Drosophila melanogaster: one gene and its partner. The gene in region 1 interacts genetically with each later gene. Each region holds a gene or a part of one and is shown on either strand. Other genes may lie near its edges. The genes, in order: Eato and Ced-12.

Region 1 (7,837 bases):
AACTCTTCAGTGGCTGGATTTCAACAATTTGTTTTGACCACAAACGTAAGGTGAAATAGTATTGTATTTTCGAACCTTCGATTTGCATTCGATGGATATAGAAATAGCGATTGAACTAGGTGCATGCCTGAAATGTAGCCATTCGGAAATGTTTCCAAAAATCAATCAGAGTCACAGCCTTAATGTCCAGTTCAACTTTAGATTTGGTGTCGGTTTTAACACGCAGTTCTTGTGAATAATCCTGTAAATGTGAGTGTACATGTACATCGTAGTTCGTAAGCGAACGCATCTAGCGGCCAGTAACTATAAAAAAGAGCACTAGTGTCTACGTTGAATCCAAATAAATGTGCTATGTATTTTAAAAAATGAGATCCTCTAGATATCGCTCGAATTCCTGCTCTCTGGAGGCTTGCTCTCGGCTTATATCGGGTTGTTGTTGCCAGATCTGTTCGTCTGCCGTGGTGGCATCCTTTGAGTCTGTGGGCTCCTTGCTGGCTTCTGGATGGGATTCGGATGCTGGTTCGACAGGCTCCTCCTCCTCTTCGCCAGAACTTTCGTGACCAACATCGAGTTTTCGACGCTTACGTTTCTTTTCAGCGCGCCGTTCCTCCTTTTCCCTGCGTCTCCGCTTCTTGCATTCTCTCTTCTTGGTGCGGTAGTTCAGCTGATCCGTGTGGGTGGGACACAGCCGCACCTATGGAATTCCCATTAGTGACACAATCGCGGAAACCCATTTGGAACCCACCTTGACCAGCGCATTTAGGGGCTCACCCTTTTCGATATACCTAAAGTTTACCTCCCAGCTGCGCAGATTATCCCGCTCCCCGCAATGCCGGCTGCCGCACTGGAACTGCCCGGTTCCGGTGACCACCTCCTGCTCCGTTCGCCAGCGCAGCGCTATCTTGTTCTCCTTGTAGCGGGACAGGTCCGCGATGCAGTACTCCTTAAATAGCTTCCTGTAGTATCGCAGGGCCAAGCGCTGCTCCCAGCTTAGGGTGTCGCTATCCAACTCGTCGTCCTCCCACAGGAAGCGGTGATTCTCTCGGATTACATCGATGTCTCGCTTGTGCCGACGTGATTCCGTCTCATTCGGTAGGTTAAGCACGTAATTACTAAGTATATAGTTGTGTCGCTCCTTGGCACTCAGGTTGTTCAGATTCACTGGGAATAATTGCGAGCCGCTCATTATGATAAAAAATTTATAATAAACAGACTTCGATTTCAGGGCACTGCCTATCGATATATCGAAGACTGTGGTCCTACTCTGGCTATTTTTACGCTATATATTAAACGATAAATAAAATGAAGCTGCAAAATTTAATCACAAATTGAAATTATTCCAACTGAATATAATAAATAAATTTTAATATATATTATTGTTATTAACCAAAATAAAATGGCTATAACAAGTTTAGAAGAATGGCCCGTAATGGCGAAACTGCATGGTATTAATCTTAGCCAATACATATACTGTTTACACACTGTGGAATAAGTTAAATTTCTTACTTTAAAGGTACAAATTAAGAGTTCTTTGCTTAATTAAATGCAACTTTTTATGAAATATAATTAAACAATATTTATTTTACTTATAAATCAAAAAAACAAATTAAAAATGTGAAATATACAAGAAAATAAAAAACAAATTCCAAGTTTACACACTTTTTAAAATTATTTTATGACCCCCATTGGCTTTGGCTACGAGTAGACTGTACACTTATCAGTAAACAATAATTATTTGTAGCGTTCCTCCGTTTTTTACTACAAGTCCAATGTTATTGAATTCATTCCCACAGTGACTCAAGTCTCAGGAGCGGGTGCGGTTCCCATTTCGATAAGTATTACTATCGACGTTGATAGAGAAAAAATGCCATTCAACAAAGCAAAGTAAAATTAGGGAAAAGTTGATGTTAAACAGAAAATGGCTGGGACTTTTACCCCGCTGTTCTTCGTCTTTCTGCGGAAGAATTTGCTCTACTTGCAACGCAACTTGCTGCCCCTGCTCCTTATCTGCTCCGGATTTGCCGGAGTACTCACCGCGTACCTCCACTGGTCCGTCAAGCCCGTGCTTCACCAAATTAACCAGTTTGAAGCAAAGAATGAAGTAAGTTTCCCTCGCACTGCTACTTTATCTGCTTTTTATATTTGTACATACGTATGCATGTGATAACAAACCTGTGACCACACTAATCCTTATCATTGGACTTCAATTTATTTATTAGATGGTTCTTAGAGAATTGTACTTTCCCGGTAATGAGCTGGATTACATTTACTACTCACCCATCTCTCCCAATGTAGAGGACATTATGGATCTCCTGCGTGTAGATCTGGGAATTATACCAGAGCGTAAGTGCATTTCCAAATTATCTCATAAATTAGATATGTGGAAAAGTTTGTATGGTAAACGTAAACGTTTCCGACCATATAAAGCTTATATGTACTTTTGATAACGATCATACAAAATAACATACAAAATTCACTGCATATATTTGCGATACTATCTTCTAGATTGTATTTAACAATATTTCATTGCGCAGGACTTCGGCCCAACAACAACAGCTTCGAGATGCAGCTGGAGATGGAGCAACAGTGCCGTGGAAGCTGCTTCGCAATTGACTTCCACCGGGTACCGAACCGTGGCTCTGACAGAAAGTTCCGATACAGCCTCAGCTCAAATCAGATGCGCATTTCGCCCAGAAAGCGATTTGTGAACGACGAGGAAATTTATCACCAGATAGGTGCGTGTTCAATTTTTCCATTGTTACCGTTTAACGAACCCGCATGTTGGTTTTTGTTTATCAGATGATGATGATTATATTCGTTCCGGATTCCTGTCCTTGCAACACATATTGGACAAACAGTATATGAAATACCAGGAGCTCGGGAAAGACTTTGAGGTGGTGGTCAGCTCGATGCCCAACATGGAGGTCATCAGCATGGATAGTCATCGATTGACATATTTCGGAACACTGTGCAGCATTCTATTCAATGTGGTCCTACTAAGCAGCTTTGTGGTGCCCTTTGTGGAGGAGAAGCAAAACGGACTGAAGGAGTTTCTCAACCTGGTCACGCCCATGAGTTTCCTCAACGGCCTCACTTTCTTTCTCATTCGGTTTGTGTGCTACACATTGCTTATGATCTTTGTCCTGGTCGTTGCATATTTATACAAGGCCCTGGGCTCCATCTGCTTTGCTTACGTGGCAGTGTTGTTTCTGCTTTACATTTTGTCAACCATGTCGTATGCTTATCTGATCTCTATTTGCTTCCACTCAGGTAAGTAATTACATTGATATATTCAGCAAAGTTTACTAATCTTCTACATAACTTACAGTTTTCTATGCGAAAATCGGAGGGCTGGCAATGCTAATAATTCCCTATGCATTCTCATTTGTTCGAAGCTGGGCCACATCGCTGGCATTTGTGTGTTTTAGCACGAATACCTTTCTGGAGGGATTGGATATTTTTCAGACATTTTCAAATAAGCGTAAGAGTTTAAATTGGTTTTTAGTAGCTTAACATTTAAATTTGAACACTGGCTTTTTTTGAAGATCGCGAATTCGGTGCTGTGGATGTATTTCGCGTAATCAAAAGCAATTCCTCAACGATGTTTTCGGTCTACGTGGTTCTCGTCTTTCAATCCTTTTTGTATGCCATGCTCTACAACTATTTGGGTTGTGTTTTTCCCGGTCCTGGTGGACTAAAGCGACCGATGTTCTTTTTCCTAGATGTAAGTACTATTTCCGAAGTCCGAACCAATGATATTTAATGTCGGTATCAGATCAAAATTTTCGCTCGTGTGATATATTTTCTTATCTCGACATAAGCTTCAATTCAGTTCGTATTATAATTTTATGTTCATTATAATCAAGTATGAGATCAGATGCAGTAAGACTCTTTATTTCAATAGGTTACTTTGATCGAATCTTGTTTATTGAAATCGGTTAAAATGTCCTTTTTACAGTTCCGTATCGGTTATCGGCTGCATAACCAAACAGGGTTAAATTAAGAATTTTCTTTATTCTAAACCATAGCCCAAGACTTACATGAAACGACAACGCAACGAATACACGACGACACCGCGCGGCACTCATGCTATCATAATCACTGAGTTGTGCAAGAAGTTCCAGACAAGCAAGCGCGATACGCTAATTTCGGACAACTTGAACATGACGATCAACAACAAGGAGATTACTGTCCTGCTGGGCCACAATGGAGCTGGAAAAACAACCATGATGAACATGATAATGGGTAGGGACTCAAACTCAATTCGCTTCCTCGGCCATCCAATGCACATGTTGATTCTCTTTCAGGATTGGTACCAAAGGATTCGGGCAAGATAATTGTGTGCAGTGAGCGCGATGTGGCCTCCTATCGCCACCTGATTGGATTCTGTCCGCAGCACAGCGTTTTCATGAGCTACATGACATGTCACCAGCACTTGGAGTTCTTTGCCCAGCTGCGGGGAGCTTGCCGATCCGATGCACGCGATTGGGCAGATGAGAAACTTAAGAAGCTGGGACTTAGCGATAAGCGAAACGAATTCGGCAAGAATTTGTCTGGAGGCATGAAGAGGCGTTTATCACTGGGTATCGCCATTGCCGGTAACACCAAGTAAACTTAAGAGATATATTGCTTAAAGATATTCGGTTTAAAAATCTTTGTTTAATCTCGCAGAATCGTAATCCTTGACGAACCATCATCGGGATTGGACATTAACTCGCGTCGTGAGCTGTGGGACATCCTACTTAATCTACGCAAGGAGAAGGCCGTTCTGGTCACCACGCACTACATGGAGGAGGCCGAGGTCCTTGGGGATACCATCTGCATATTGGCCAATGGAAAACTGCAGAGCATCGGGAGTCCTTTGGAATTAAAACGAAAATCGGGAATTGGTTATCGTCTCAAATTAGAGATCAACGATTTTACATCAAGAGAAGTGGAAATCATGGAAATAATCCATCACTTTGTGCCAACAGCCAGAGTCTTGGTAAGTCATTAATAAATGAACTTTATATAAGGCGTGTGCATAATATCCTTTAAACGTTGAACAGAATGTGGTGAATCCTACTGTGTATATCTGCCTGCCGTATGCCTATAAAAATTGTTTCGCACAAATGCTTTATAGGCTGGAGACTGAATCAAAGGAACTGGGCATACATACAATTTCCATGACCGACACTTCCCTGGAGGATGTTTTCCTAAGGTAGGGATTGGAAGATACATTGTTTATTGTTTTTGCTTTAATATCTTATGTGGTGTTTTAGATGCGCAGGCGAACAGGATCAAGTGGATACCCCCGATGGTTCGCGCAATGATGCGCCGCTACTGGCACACTACAAAAGACTCCAAGACCATCCCCCTCATCGCGGACTTTTTCAACTTTGGATGGCTGTGTTTTACAAAAAGTGGACCTTTATTTCCAATGAATGGTTATATACTCTGATAATGGTAAGTTGTTAGCAATTTGTAGGACTTTGCTCTGTTGTATAAACGGCGAAAACAACTAAAACTAAAACGAACTAAAAACTTTTTGTGCTCCCCTCTCGCTAGCTGTGCATTCCCTTTGTATGCGTATTCGGGGCTATACTGGTGATGCACGCCATGTCCTTGGTGGAGAACGAAGAGGCTCTGCCGCTGAAGCTCAGCCAGATGGGCAGTGGCGTTATATACGTTCACAATCCAACGGGCCATCACGCCCATTTGGAGCAGCAGCTGCGTCAACAGATCGAGCTGAATGGAATCACAGCGAAAACAATGCACCTGCGTGGGAGTAATGATGTGAAAAATGGTGAGTATGCGACGTTGTGCTAAACATTTTAATGGCTCTATCAATACATGTGTTCTCTAGAATCCCTTGACTTACAACGCGACAACTTGGCTGATTTCTTGGAGCAGGTGATTGGCATTATTGACATGTACGGAGGTGGGCGTGGCACCTCCGATACGCCCACCATTGAGATTTTTTACTCAGGCAATCGCTACCACAGCTCTGTGGAGCTTATCAACCTGGTGGACTCGGCAATGCTGAAGCTAGGGCGTCCAGAGTCTGAAATTGATACGACTTACGTGCCAATTCGTCGATTTGTTAGCGACATAAGTCCATCGCGCCTCGAATACTATGCGGTCATCGTGCCGATCGGCATGTTCTTCTTCATGTTCTATTTCATCTCATTGCCGTTTCGGGAATATGCCAATGGATTCAAACAGCTGCAGACCATGTCGCGATTTACTTATTGGTTTGCGCATTTTACTTTTGATATGCTGATCCTGATCTTCGTCTGCGTTGCCCTGTTCAGTCTGCAATCCTTGATGATGCCCTCGGAGCTGTATACAACGGCTGAACTTAAGGTCATTGTGTTAAGCATATTTTTCTACGGCTGCAGCTACCTGCCCATTCTATACGCCCTGGGAAACAACTTTAAGTCGATATCCACGATATCTACTTATTTGCTTTTGATGCTGATTGTGTCCGGTAATATTATTTGATTTTATAACCAGTGACAACAATTAGAAAAACTATAAAACCCATTTTCTTTTAGCCATTGCCCCACTTATCACCTCCAGCAATGCGGCGGCCATGAAACTGCATGAGACCAAGATCGCCTTCCTCTGCTTCCTACCGGACTTCAATCTTAATCACCAGTTTCGCATCATCAATGAAAACTTTATAACCCGACGCCATCCGGCACTTATAAAGGGTCTTATCAGCCAGGACACCTTCTTTGCCTATGCCACCGCCGTGGGTGTTATGGTCATGGCATTCTTTACCATAGTCCTGGAACACAAGTATCTGCGCAGACGAATTCATGATGGCATCTGGGAATGGGCATTCCAAAGAAAGAAATACAATTCGACAGGCACCCTTCCCAGTACTCCGATCTCAGAAATTGATGATTGTGCAAGGGAGGAAAAACGGGTTACCGATCTGATAAAAGACCCATTGAACGACCATTCACTGATTGTGCACAATCTTCGCAAGCGATACGGCGATAAGCTGGCTGTGGACGGAGTCAGCTTTGCGGCTGCCCAGGGTGAATGCTTTGGTCTGTTGGGTGTTAACGGAGCGGGTAAGACAAGTACCTTTCAGATGATAGCGGCCAATTTGCCTCTAGATGGTGGCACTATCCGCATCAAAGGCGCAGACATTCGCGAGCATGAGTTGAAATACCGGGAATACTTTGGCTACTGCCCTCAGTACGATGCACTAAATAAATTCATGACCGCCGAGCAGTGCCTATACTACATGGCATTGCTGCGCGGCCTGAGCCGCCGAAGGACCGATGGACCAGCCAGCTGCAAGGAGCACGTGAAGTACTGGCTAGAGAAGATGCATTTGACCAAATATCAAAAGGTGCAAGTGCGCCACTATTCGGGCGGCACGAAACGCAAGCTTCTGGCGGCAATGGCCATGATTGGTGCACCCGCACTGGTGCTCCTGGACGAACCTACCACCGGTGTGGATCCCATCTCGAGACGATTTCTTTGGCAATGCATCAAGGATTTCCAGGGAAAGGATCGAACAGTGGTGCTCACATCACATAGGTAAGCCCAAAAAAGTATATTTCCTTTTCAAACAGATTCAAAAGTGTACACATTCTCTACAAACAGCATGGACGAGTGCGAAGAGCTGTGCAATCGCTTGGCCATCATGGCGCACGGAAAGTTCAAGTGTCTGAACAATATTTGCGCCCTTAAGCGATTAAGCGGCTTCACGATAAAACTGAAAATGAAGGCGGACACCGAAACGGAGATGAATGTGTCCACGATCACTGGCACGTTGAAGTCAGAGTTTCCTGGTCTGGAACTGCGCGAGAGCCATGCCGGCACACTCACCTACTTT
Region 2 (5,127 bases), 1.7 Mb from region 1:
ATCCTCACTGGCTTCCCCTTGTTTGGCCGTTTTTTTGCTGCTGGAGGCGGCTTCTTCATCGCTGCTATCAGTGACTGGCCCCTCCTGGACTTCCAAATCCTGTGGCTCCTCCTCGTCAAAGCTGGAATCGCTGTCCGAGTCCTGTTCCACGGGCGGAGGGGCTGTTTTTCGCTTAATTTTTATCATTATTCCGAGAGAATCACGAATTCACAAAAATGCGAGCGGCACGTGTTGATATTCTTCTTCTTATACCAATCACACGGAAACGCAGACAATCTGCTGTGTGGGGCAGTGTTGGAAAACGTGCCACTCACAACGTGTAGTTTGTAAACAAAAATATATTTAATTAAAATGGTATTTCGGGTCTTAGAACTATTTAGTGGCATTGGCGGCATGCATTATGCCTTTAATTGTGAGTTCGTCGATCATGATACATGCGAAACTAATATATACTTTTGAAGATGCCCAATTGGATGGACAAATAGTTGCCGCCTTGGATGTCAACACCGTGGCCAATGCGGTTTATGCGCACAATTACGGCAGTAATTTGGTGAAAACTAGGAATATTCAAAGCCTGAGTGTAAAGGAAGTCACAAAGCTTCAGGCCAACATGCTGCTGATGTCCCCGCCATGTCAGCCCCACACTCGCCAGGGATTGCAAAGGGACACGGAAGACAAGCGATCGGATGCACTTACTCATCTGTGTGGACTGATCCCAGAGTGCCAGGAACTGGAGTACATACTCATGGAAAACGTCAAGGGTTTCGAGAGCTCACAGGCGCGAAATCAGTTTATTGAATCGCTGGAGCGGTCGGGATTCCATTGGCGGGAGTTTATTCTAACGCCAACGCAATTCAATGTGCCAAATACTCGATATCGCTACTATTGCATCGCCCGCAAGGGTGCAGACTTTCCATTTGCCGGTGGAAAGATCTGGGAAGAAATGCCGGGTGCTATAGCCCAGAATCAGGGTCTTTCACAAATTGCCGAGATTGTGGAGGAAAATGTATCACCCGATTTCCTGGTGCCCGACGATGTCTTGACCAAAAGAGTGCTGGTCATGGACATAATACATCCTGCTCAAAGTAGATCCATGTGCTTTACAAAGGGCTACACCCATTACACCGAGGGCACGGGCTCTGCATACACACCGCTTTCGGAGGACGAATCCCACCGCATCTTCGAGTTGGTCAAGGAAATTGACACAAGTAATCAGGATGCATCGAAGTCGGAGAAGATTTTGCAGCAACGCTTGGACCTGTTGCACCAGGTGAGACTGCGCTATTTCACGCCACGGGAAGTTGCTCGTCTAATGAGTTTTCCGGAGAATTTTGAATTTCCGCCAGAAACAACGAATCGACAAAAGTATCGACTGCTGGGAAATAGTATTAATGTAAAGGTTGTCGGTGAACTTATTAAATTGCTGACGATAAAATAAAACAAAATACAACATATTTGCTTGCTTATTTTCACTTTAATACATTTATTAGCTAGGAAATTACTCTGCGCTGTTATCATTAAAATATTTATTTCAAATCCACATAATTTTCCCGCCCAGTGTTGCCTATGCCACAAAACGCAACGGTTGTGTGCTGTGTGATATTCCATACTACTTGTCAATTGGTCACACTGCACTGAATTAAAAAAAAAAAGAATATAAGTTTACGCAGAAAAACAATAATAATTGCAATTATCGCTAATTGAAAGAGTGCCAAAATGATACCAAAAAAGACGACGGTTAAGGATTCACACATTGTGAAAATAGCCGTGGAGCGAGAGGACCATATAGCGCAGTTGATAAATCTGGATCAAAGGCATCCGCTGGCAAGTGAGTAAATAGCGGATAAAAACAAAGATTTTTCGCTTGCTGAGCAGCAGTTTTAAAGAGAATCTGCTTTAAACATGTAAAACAAAGTTCCAAGAAGTTAATAAACCAGAATTATGTTGAAAGTAGCAAAGGAACCCATCATAAGGGAGGAACTTCCAACCAACGCCCTTCGCTATGTTTAAGTGTTATCGTGATGTCAGCGCACTCATTTCCTCTTTCTCATTTATATGCAAATCATACAATTGGTCAGGAAGTTGCTATTTACAGCGTATTAATGCCGCCTTCGCTTGCAGGTAAAATCCAGGAAATTTGCAATGGTTGGTCCATCAGCGATCACCAGAACTATGCACTCCAGTTCTACGAGCCCACTAACCGAAAGTACGTGACCGAAAAGAATCGCAATGAGATCAAGAATGGCTCCGTACTGCAGCTGCAGTATTCGCCATCCAAGACTGCCTGCGATGCCATGGAGGTGCTGCTCAATGGCAGTCCACAGGAGAAGGCGCTGCGTCTAAAGGAGCTCACTTCCCTAAGCACCGATCACACATTTGCCCTGGAGTTCATCAAGGAGAAGGGTCTCGACACACTCATTAAGATGATTGAGGATGGCGGCCAGACCAACGAAGACATTCTGAAATACAGCCTGGCCAGCTTTGTGGAGCTGATGGAGCACGGCACGGTGTCCTGGGAGGTGCCGGAAAACTCATTCGTGGCCCGCAACATTGAGATCGTGCGAAACTTTCAGAAATATCCTACGAACTGTGGTGAGAGCGCCCTGTCCAACTTGGAGAACATTGTTATGTGCAGCAATAAACATGTGCTTGTTGCCGAGGACATCAAGCTGCAGGATATTCTCCGATTGCTTCAGGATGTCAATTCGCCGGTGATGCGACAAAATGCCATAGCCCTGCTGAACGCTCTGTTCGTCAAAGCAGACGAGGGCCGCCGCAGGACCATTGCTCAAACTATTAGTGCCAAGCAGTTCCGCCTGGCCCTTATCGGCAATGGACTGGGCACAGAGATGACCCACCAGCTGTACGTGCTGCAAACGTTGACTCTCGGCCTGTTGGAGAAGCGCATGCGTATGAAGATGAACGCGCAGGACCAGGACGCGCACGAGAAGATCAAGGAGCTGCGGCGCATTGCCTTCGACGATAATACCAACGCTTTGAATCAAAACGACGATCACATCCGTCGTGGCGGTGGCTCCGGAGCTGGCAATGTCAACTTCTCGCAGTACTACAAAAAGCTGGGCTTCAAGTGCGATATTAACCCTGCCCAGGATTTCATTGAGACGCCGCCGGGTAAGAATATGTTCTTATATTAAAGCTATTTTGGTTGATAATCCGAAACGTATTTCTCAGGTATATTAGCGTTGGATTGCATGGTGTATTTTGCACGCAACTACACGCAACAGTATGCGAAGATCGTCAGGGAGAACTCCTGCCGTGCGGATGAGCACGAGTGTCCCTTCGGACGCACCTCCATCGAATTGGTCAAGGTGCTATGTGACATCCTTCGCATCGGCGAGCCACCAGCCGAGCAATCCGGTGACTTTCAGCCCATGTTCTTTACGCACGATTCGCCGTTCGAGGAATTCTTTTGCATATGCGTCATTACGCTGAATCGCACATGGAAGGATATGCGTGCCACTGCCGAGGACTTCAGCACAACCTTCAGCGTGGTGCGGGAGCAGATCCAGCGCACTCTAAAGGGCAGACCCGAGAACCTGGACGATTTCCGAAACAAGATCGCTTTGTTGACCTATCAGCAGATCACAACACTGCGCCAGCAGGAGCGCACTTCGAAGGAGGAGTGTGATTCCACAGCTTCGGCGATTGTTAAGCTCAAAGAGAAGATATCACCGCAAATTCTTGAGCTAATCAAGCAGCAACGGCTCTCTTTTCTGGTGGAAGGTACAATTTCTAATAAATACATTTCAAGGGCAATCTTAACATGGATAAATCTTGCACTTATAGGTACACATTTTGCAAAATACTTGCGAGGCACTCGAACAAAGGACAAGTTCTGGTACGCTCGTCTTTCGCCGAATCACAAGGTGATTCATTACGGAGATTGCGACGAGAAGACAATACCCACCATGGAGGAGTTGCCCAAGAAACTGCCCATCAGTGAGATTAAGCAATTGCTAGAGGGCAAGGAATGCCCGCATATGAAGGAAACTCGCATTCGGAAATCGGCGGTAAACCTGGCCTTTTCCATCACCTTCGAAAACATGGAGCACTCTACGTTGGACTTTGTGGCACCCGACGAAAGCATATTCAACTACTGGACGGATGGAATAAACGCGCTGCTGGGTCAACCGATGGTCAGCAAGCAAAAGAACGAGGACTTCGACACTCTGCTGTCGATGGAGATCAAATTGCGCCTGCTGGACACGGAAGGTGTGGACATCAGCAAGGACCCACCGCCAATACCGGAGGATCCCGAAAACTATGATTTTTGCTTTGAGAGCTAAGCATAACGAGCACAATTACTTCACGAATTATTCGATTCATTCTAGACTCCCCCATCACCCAAGATACATGCCAAAGTGTACACACAACATAATCGTATTCTCCGATCTGATCTTCTACTAGTATTACTTGTGCAATTCCCCGAACACAAAATGAACAAACTGGTGACGGTCACGTCCAAGTGACTAACCGCTGCCTAGCCATTTAGTGAACTTTACACCATTTATGATTATAATAGGTATATAATATATAGAGATCATTAAATAACACATTTTATACATAACAATTTTGTACAAAAACTAACAAGAGAAGCGTATTCTTATCCAAGCCTAAAAGGTAATTAGTTAGTTAAAAAAAGCAAAAAGCACGGCTGGCCGATGCTTTGAACACCATTGCGGAAGGAATTGATTTGGAGCCGTTAACAATAATGGAATCTTAGCAATGTAATTTATTGATGCTCTGAATTGCACTTGGAATTTGCTATCGATTTGTCCTTCCGCAAGGATATGTTGATTGCAATTGTAAATGATAAAACACGCACTTGACGACCTTTGGTTCGAACTTTAAAGCATTCGAGTAAGCAGTAAGCCTGCGGAGCAAAACCAAACTGGCAGCCTACCCGAGTGGGTCTCTGGCTGCCTCCTCGCAACATTATCCACGCACGGGCAGCTTGCGCCGGCGAGCAGGGGCTCGATCCTAGATCCTTAATCAAATGTTATCCTCCAGCAGGAGATCGTTGTCATCGCCCCGGTCCGGCAGGCAGACAAAGAATTCGAGTAAATTCAGGATGGGACCACGCGAGAAGGGATTCTGATATCGTCC

The links.
Region 2: of Eato (region 1) and Ced-12, changing one enhances a phenotype caused by changing the other (phenotypic enhancement), as found in Drosophila melanogaster (one study listed by BioGRID).

The regions. Positions count from the first base shown.
Region 1 is NT_033779.5:13,782,252-13,790,088, forward strand, and holds the start of Eato (engulfment ABC transporter in the ovary), read left to right. Parts: upstream 1-1,832; 5' UTR 1,833-1,918; coding exon 1,919-2,101; intron 2,102-2,219; coding exon 2,220-2,343; intron 2,344-2,461; exon of another isoform or gene 2,462-2,534; coding exon 2,535-2,735; exon of another isoform or gene 2,736-2,799; coding exon 2,800-3,270; intron 3,271-3,328; coding exon 3,329-3,487; intron 3,488-3,545; coding exon 3,546-3,724; intron 3,725-3,958; coding exon of another isoform or gene 3,959-4,003; exon of another isoform or gene 4,004-4,028; coding exon 4,029-4,245; intron 4,246-4,307; coding exon 4,308-4,608; intron 4,609-4,671; coding exon 4,672-4,984; intron 4,985-5,048; coding exon 5,049-5,200; intron 5,201-5,261; coding exon 5,262-5,445; intron 5,446-5,547; coding exon 5,548-5,785; intron 5,786-5,845; coding exon 5,846-6,469; intron 6,470-6,536; coding exon 6,537-7,539; intron 7,540-7,605; coding exon 7,606-7,837. Other genes in the region: CG16890 (uncharacterized protein), read right to left, coding at 359-694, 746-1,186.
Region 2 is NT_033779.5:12,096,235-12,101,361, forward strand, and holds Ced-12 (Ced-12), read left to right. Parts: upstream 1-1,603; 5' UTR 1,604-1,716; coding exon 1,717-1,828; intron 1,829-2,121; coding exon 2,122-3,132; intron 3,133-3,192; coding exon 3,193-3,744; intron 3,745-3,807; coding exon 3,808-4,307; 3' UTR 4,308-4,605; downstream 4,606-5,127. Other genes in the region: CG6712 (uncharacterized protein), read right to left, coding at 1-186; Mt2 (methyltransferase 2), read left to right, coding at 352-412, 462-1,438; patsas, read right to left, coding at 5,014-5,127.